Linked DNA regions of Macaca mulatta. The protein of the gene in region 2 interacts with the protein of the main gene of each other region in a pairwise test. Links are inferred from orthologs where the notes say so. Each region holds a gene or a part of one and is shown on either strand. Other genes may lie near its edges.

Region 1 (4,137 bases), on a different chromosome or scaffold from region 2:
CTACAGGCGCCCGCCACCACGCCCGGCTAGTTTTTTGTATTTTTAGTAGAGACGGGGTTTCACCATGTTAGCCAGGATAGTCTCGATCTCCTGACCTCGTGATCCACCCGCCTCGGCCTCCCAAAGTGCTGGGATTACAGGCTTGAGCCACCGCGCCCGGCCAGCCCACCTTTGTCTTTATAAATGAGATAAAAGTAACCAGACCTCCCTGGGAAAACCGGGATGCAGTTGCTTCTCTGGTGACTGCGGGGCATAACTGCAGGGTTCACACAGGGCTGCTGGTGCTGGGTGGTAACATCGGAAAGGAACAGCAGTTCACAAGATGGGGTTCGGGGACTGGCCCAGGAACCCCTCCAGGTTAAACGATGCCTCCGGGCCCCGCATTTGGGACGTCTGCAGGCACTGGGAGGGCTTATCCCAAGCCGCTGGCAGCAGCGAGTGGAGCCTCGCCCACTGAATCAGCATGCCCTCCCGGCTGGCTGCTGAGTCAGGCCTGCGGAGCCGGCGAAGCCGCAGGACTTGACCCAGGCCCGCTCCGTTGCCCTTCAGGCCGGGCTGGAGGTCGAGGCCCTGCAGCCAGGGAGATGCGCCGGTGGCTGCGTGGGGTCAGAGAGTGGATGTCTCCCACCCTCACAGCCTACACCCCGGCCCTTCCCCTTTGCCCGTCTGAGGCGCAGTTTGTGTCGAGGGGGAGCGCCTGGAAAGTCTCCTCGTACAGATACGAGGGTCCAAAAGCCCCGAGGAGAGGGAGGCGCAGGGTTAGGGATCAGGGTCTCGACCAAAGGCTGTCGGTTTTCCTGGAGAAGGGAGAAAGGCCTGGCCGGGATCCTGTGATTCCGGGGGCTCCCAAAGGCTTCCTAATGGGGTTTTGGGGGGACCGAAATGAGCGCACGAAGCTCGCGGGCCTCCGAGTGGGGCGGGGCGGGAGCCCAGTGGTGGCGGCTGCGGCCAGGCCTGCACCTTCCCCGGCCGCATTTCGGTAGTGCCCACAGCCCGGCTGGAGGGGAAGGTGCCGAAGCGCTCGGTCATCGCGGCTGTGAGGTCGGAGAGGCCAGGGCCTGGCCGCCCACCCCGCGAGCCGCGCCCTGCCCCAAGCGCCCCGCCCCCGTCCGTGTTCCAGCCGGGAGGCCCGCGGCGTCCTGCACCGTCACCCTGTTCCCTGTGACCGCCCTCCTGATACCCAAACAGCTTCCTCGCCCCTCCAGTCCCCAGCTCGCCGAGCGCTTGCTGAGAGCCACCCAGCCTCAGTTTCCCCAGCCCCGGGCGGCGCGAGAGGCGATGACGTCATGCCGGCGCGCGGCATTGTGGGGCGGGGCGAGGCGGGGCGCCGCGGGAGCAACACTGAGACGCCATTTTCGGCGGCGGGAGAGGCGCAGGCGGCCGAGCGGGACTGGCTGGGTCGGCTCCGCTGCCGCTGCGAGGAGGAGCCGCGGGGCTGTGCTCGGCGGCCAAGGGGACAGCGCGCGGGCGGCTGAGGATGCTACGGGGCGGCGGCGCCCCTCGCTCGTGACTGCTGCGCCGCGCCTCACACAGCCGAGGCGGGCTCGGCGCGCGGTCGCTGCTCCGCGCGCGCGCCCGGCGGCGCTCCTGGTGCTGACAGCGCGAGACAGCGCGGCCCTCAGGAGCTGGACGGTGAGTCCCCGGCGTGCGCCCCGGACCGCGGCCCCGGCCCCCTCCTCATCCTCCGCCCCGGCCCTGTCTCGCTCCTTTTCGGACCTGCCCCGGGCGCAACTCCGTCTGCATCCAGGTCCCTGTCCCGGTTTGGGTCCCAGACCCTGTCGGTTCCCACCCCGGTACCCGCCCCAGTTCACCGCCCCGGCCGGTCCGCGACCCCTTGCAGGTTCAGGTCGGGTTCCTGTCCCCGGCCCCTTTCCCAGCCCCAGCTCCCGGCGCCGTGCGTCCTCCCCATCCGCGTCCCACTGCAGGTTCCGGTCCTCGACCCTGCCCAGGGCCCCGCCCTGGTCCCGCATCCGCGGCTCGGCCCAGCTGCGGGCGGCGGCGGCCTTTCCCGGGGACAGCTGTGGACCCCGGGAGCCCGCGACAGGGGAGGTGGCCGCCCCCGGGATCGCGGCGGGCGGGGAGGCCGGAGGCCCGGCGGGGCTGGCTTTGTCCGATTCCTCCTCTTCCTTCCACCCCCGCCTCTCCCGGCACCGCCCTGAGCGGACGCGCCTGTCATCCTCGCGGGCGGCGGGGGGCCGGGTCCCTCCCGAGAGCCGACTCCGCTTCGCCTCTTTGGCGACCCGTTTTTTTCGGTAACCAGATGTGAAACGTTTCAGGCGACCCTGTTCACCTAAGCTGGCGTTGCTCCAACTAAAGTTGAAGCAGCCCCCGTCCTGGAATGCTTTTTCGATGTAAAATTGGGTGCACCCTTTTCCCTAGGAAAATTAAAATAAAGCGTTAAAAAAGTGAAATTAATGCGTGATGGAGTGGATGGTTTTATACTTAATATTTGTAGGTCGTTTCTAGGTATATTTGTATTGGAATTGTTGCTGCCTGTTACTTTTTATTATTTCAATGCATTAAGAATTTACATATTAAGCATTTATAAAGGAATACTTACAAAAATGATGCTTCTAAAAAATGTGAGAACAAAAAATTTGAGATATACTATTTCAGGTGTTCTGTAAAAGGGCAGTTAGAGCTTTGATTCTTTGCATTAGTTAAATTCCAAGGCCTTTTTTTTTTGGTATGGCATGACTAAGCCATTGATCAGAATCAGCTCGGAATACATTGCACTAGTTTAGTGAAAAACGCATTAGGAAACTGGAACGACCTCCTTAAGTTATATTACAGCCATGGCCTTGCTTCTTTCAGGTATTGCCAACAAGCCTGTTATGGTGAGAAATTTGACCTATTGCTCTGTTTCCTAAATATTTGTAGGAATACAATGATACCAAGTATGAAGTGTATTTCAACTTGTATGGAATTCTGTGTGGGAGGGTAGGCACTCTAAAGAGCCAGTGTCTCTCCAAGTCATCAAAGAATGCAACATCATGTTGCGGTTGAGCCTGGCAGCCCTGTCTGGCACTGAGTGCTGTGGAGGACCCAGGTGGTAACCTCTAACCCTACTGCAGCCTTGCGCACCTCACCTTGCCTAGCATTGTCTTAGAAAAGCATCCAGACGTGCACAGGAGTCTGTGTACTGGACAGCGTTTATCTCCAGCAAAGGGGAAGGGAATGACACTGGGGAGAGGCACACAGTGTCTTAAATATTTCATAACAAATAACTGCACTCATTTAAATTTTATACTTTTTTTTTTTTTTTTTTTTGAGATGGAGTCTTGCTCTGTTGCCCAGGCTGGAGTGCAGTGGTGCGATCTCTGCTCATGGCAAGCTCCGCCTCCCGGGTTCACGCCATTCTCCTGCCTCAGCCTCCCCAGTAGCTGGGACTCCAGGCGCCCGCCACCACGCCCAGCTAATTTTTTGTGTTTTTAGTAGAGACGGTGTTTCACCGTGTTAGCTAGGATGTTCTCGATCTCCTGACTTCATGATTTGCCCACCTTGACCTCCCAAAGGGCTGGGATTAACAGGCGTGAGCCACTGCGCCTGGCCCAAATTTATACATTTTTAAAATTTATACATTCTTAAGCATGTTTCTCAGTGTTGGAAAAAAGTCAATGTGTAACTCTGTATAGGGCCATAAACTATTTTAAAACATACTTGTATAAAAAGAAACCTAGAATAGAAAAATCAAAAGTTGAGTGAAATGTAGGATTAGTATCGCCTGAAAATGTTCTTCGTAGATAAGTGGAATGTTAGAAACCAGTATTTTATTTTTATTTATTTATTTGTTTAGAGATGAGTCTTGCTCTGTCGCTTAGACTGGAGTTCAGTGGTATGATCTCGGCTCCCTGCAACCTCTGCTTCCCAGGTTCAAGAAGTTCTCCTGCCTCAGCCTCCCTAGTAGCTGAGATTACAGGCGCCCACTACTACACCAGGCTAATTTTTTGTATTTTTAGTAGAGACGGGGTTTCACCACGTTGGCCAGGCTGGTCTCCAACTCCTAACCTCAGGTGATCCACCCGCCTCAGCCTCCCAAAATGCTAGGATTACAGGTGTGAGCCATTGCACCTGGGCCGAAACCAGTATTTTATGTAGCAAAGAAATGATCAGTAATATATTCAAACGAGAGTAATA
Region 2 (3,500 bases):
AGGTCAGAGCCCGAGCTTGAGGCTACCCGGCAGGAGCACAGGGCCATGGGACTCCCAGAATCTGTCAGGATCCAGCCTTAACTGTAGCTTGAGAGGACATGGCTGTCCTTTCCCGGGGCCAGAGCAATGCGGACTCAGGACTGCACTCTAAAGCGCTTGCATACATGGTTTCGTCTCCACAGAGGAAGCCGCTGAGCTCCAAGAGGCCCAAGCGGGCCATAAAACTAAGCCTCCGACCACTTGGAAGCAAGCTCTGCCACTCCAGGCCACTTGGGGGGTCGGGGAGAGGGAAAGGGAGAGGAGGGGAGGGGGAGGAGAGGAGGGGAGGGGGAGGGGAAGAGGGCCCACCCCAGCCCCATTCCCAGCCAGGGGACGGACACTGCTGGATGGCACTCGGAGAGGGGAGGGGAGGGCCGCCCCAGCTGCAGCCCCATTCACAGCCACGTGGGCCAAGATTCCTACTGAAAACCCAGAAGGCGGCTCAGTCCTGGGGAGGGAAGACACTGCTTCCCGCAGTCCAGGAGCCCCTGTGCCGCCCTGCTTCCGGGTGCTGTCCTGTGTCTCACTCCCAGCATGCTCTGCAGCTGAGCTGTCCTGAGACTCAGCCAGGGAGGGTGCCCGGTGGCCTCCGCCATACTCACCTTCTTCTTCTCGGGAGACCCGTGGGCGCTCTTGGGCTCACCGTCTCCTTCGCGGTCGCAGGTCAGGGGGTCGCGGCCTGGCGCTGGCTTGACTCCATTCCCACCGTCGTCCTCATTGGGCTTCCATCCGCTCAGGTTGACGCCCGCAGCACACCACAGCTGCAAGGGCAGGGCCGGGGTCGGGTGTCACCGGCGCTCCCCAGCCTCCCGCCTGCCCAGCCGGCCTGAACGGGGTCCTCGCCCGCTCACCTTCATGGTGGGGTCCTTCTCCACCAGAGGGCGGCAGTACACGGGCACCGGCACGTTCTTCATCCGCGTGTCCTCCTGGCCCCCGTTGGGACTCAGCTGCAGGGAGCAGGGAGGCGCTATGGGCACCAGCCATGGCTCCTACCCATCCCTCCAGAAACCTTAGGCCGAGCTGCCAGCTTCTTGCGGCAGAGCCACCTCAAGACTGGAGGCAGGTGGGGGCGTGGGAGCCGCAGGGCTCCTCCTCCGACCCTCCAGACCCCTGCCCAGGGGGCTTACTAGGACCTGCCAGGCCCCGCCCCTCCCCGCCCGTCGTCCCCTCCCCGCCCGTCGTCCCCTCCCACACCCGGCACTGCCCCGCCCTCCCCCCCGCCCCTTACTCACGCTCCGCCCCTTACTCACGCCCCGCCCCCGCGGGGCCCCGCCCTGTCCCCGAAGCGCCCCGCCCGCACCTGCTTGTACTTGGCGGGCAGGCTCCAGCCGCAGGCCTGAAGTCGGCCGTCGTCGTTACGCACGTGCTCACGCACCTGGCGGTACTGCTCGCGCTTCTGCTCTCGACGGGCGGAGGACGTGCAGTCGCTGAGTGGAAGAATGATGGGTGATGTCTCTGTCCAGGGTGAGCGGCAGCCGAGCAGCAGGCACCCACAGTGCCCCAGGCTTGCCCTGGGGGAGGTCACGGCAGGGAGGCCCATCCTCGCCTTTTCCCGGCCACCGAGTGCCTAGCTAGGGAGGGTGGCCTTCCCAGCACCGGGTATGCCCCTGGGCTTGCAGGCCACAGCTGGCACCTGCTCAACCCAGAGGCTGCTCTTTGGCCATAGTCACGGAGGGCTCCACAGACCAGGACCTGGAGTGCCGCCAGGGCACAGGCGCGGCCACTGCACATACGTCTGAAGTGGCTCCTTGCTGCAGAGGCCACCGTGGAGCCCAGCGCAGCCCCCTGACTGTTGGTGTGCACAGCCTCTGCCAAGGGACATCCTGAACCAAACACTTCGGAGCCAAAGCAGCCCAGCTCCCCGCTGCAGGGAGGGGCAGGCAGTGTGCAGGGAGAGGTCACGACCCCTGGCATGTGGCCAGCAAGGTGGAGGCTGCCCTCAAAGTCCCGCTTCAGGTCCTGGAGGGGAGGGGCCTCAGGACAGGGCCTCCCCAACCCCACTGCAGGCCACTAGTGGGGACCATGGGACACTCACTCATCAGGGAAGAATTCCAGGGGCCGGCTGCCCGCCGAGATCGGGCACATGGCATGGCTGCGGCGCTGGCTGAAGCCGGCCGTGGTAGGCGACTTGTAGTGGATATTCACCGAGGGGTAGGGGCGCTTGGCCGGAGGGGGGCTGGAGGAGGAGCTGAAGAGGCGGCTGAAGCTGCCGGAGGCACAGGGAGGTGAGGGGTGGGCAGAGGACCAGGGAACTTCCCTGCCCCTTCCCCTGCAGCTGCTGCCCACACCCCCTGGGGCCCCCAGCTTACAACTGCCAGATGGTGGACTTCTTCTTCTCCTGGACGGATGGGTGCTCTCGGGATGCTCTGCGGGGGAGGGCATAGGGAGCAGCCTGCTAGCACCCTCACGCCTCCCTTGCCTGGTACTCTCTGGGCTCCCACCAGGAAGCACCCAGCACCCTTCAGTCCCCCCAGAAGACAGGGAGGTGCAGAGGAGGGAGCCGCAGTTCTGCCATCAGGGATGACCCCACAGCCCTTCCTGGGGTGGCCGCAACTCCCACCTGATCATCTCGGTCCACCGCACAGCCTCCTGCAGCTCCATCAGCCGCTCCTTGTACTGGTTCCGCTCCATGAGCACACGGGCCATCTCTACCCGCGTGAAGCGGCGGCGCTGGGCCATGGGGATTTTGTCCTGTGGAGGGGAGAGGCACAGAGGCTCAATCAGCCAGCCTTGGAGGCCGGGTCACACCTGCTTCCTCCTGGGGTGCCTCCACCGGGGCAGGGTCGTGGCCTCCAGGTATAGGTGGATCTCAGTACCAATTTCTTTTTTTTTTTTTTTTTTTTTTTTTGAGACGGACTCTTGCTCTGTCACCCAGGCTGGAGTGCAGTGGCCGGATCTCAGCTCACTGCAGCCTCTGCCTCCCGGGTTCACGCCATTCTCCTGCCTCAGCCTCCCGAGTAGCTGGGACTACAGGCGCCCGCCACCTCGCCCGGCTAGTTTTTTTGTATTTTTTAGTAGAGACGGGGTTTCACCGTGTTAGCCAGGATGGTCTCGATCTCCTGACCTTGTGATCCGCCCGCCTCGGCCTCCCAAAGTGCTGGGATTACAGGCTTGAGCCACCGCGCCTGGCCTCAGTACCAATTTCCTGCAGATCCTCAGGCAAGAAGCCTGAGGGGTGTCAGCAAGGGGGGAGGGGAACCTGGAGTCAGCCTGACCCTGCCAGGGCTGCCAGGACACGCGTGAGAGGCACGATGTGGGTGACTTTCCCTGCATGTCCGTGGAGGCCCCAAATGCCTCAGGTGAGGTGCAGGTGGGACTGCTCCAGTGTGAAATGAGTAGATGGGACGCTCTAGGAAGGGTCCAGCCGGCTGAACACTTTGGGTTCTGACAGACCCACGTGGGGTCTGTGGTCTGCTCCCCTACCCAGGGCTGCTCAGCAGAGCTGCCAGGGAGTGAGGAAG

What was found. The genes of interacting proteins can lie anywhere in the genome.
Region 1: the proteins of MAPK8IP3 (region 2) and KLC1 interact in binary tests that used the Homo sapiens proteins (3 or more experiments, as listed by UniProt). The link is inferred for Macaca mulatta from reciprocal best matches to the Homo sapiens genes MAPK8IP3 and KLC1.

The regions. Positions count from the first base shown.
Region 1 is NC_133412.1:177,048,710-177,052,846, forward strand, and holds the start of KLC1 (kinesin light chain 1), read left to right. Parts: upstream 1-1,337; 5' UTR 1,338-1,632; intron 1,633-4,137. UniProt on the Homo sapiens protein: Kinesin is a microtubule-associated force-producing protein that may play a role in organelle transport. The light chain may function in coupling of cargo to the heavy chain or in the modulation of its ATPase activity.
Region 2 is NC_133425.1:2,986,162-2,989,661, reverse strand, and holds part of MAPK8IP3 (C-Jun-amino-terminal kinase-interacting protein 3), read right to left. Parts: intron 2,731-3,500; coding exon 2,600-2,730; intron 2,406-2,599; coding exon 2,349-2,405; intron 2,246-2,348; coding exon 2,075-2,245; intron 1,467-2,074; coding exon 1,340-1,466; intron 987-1,339; coding exon 891-986; intron 801-890; coding exon 642-800; intron 1-641.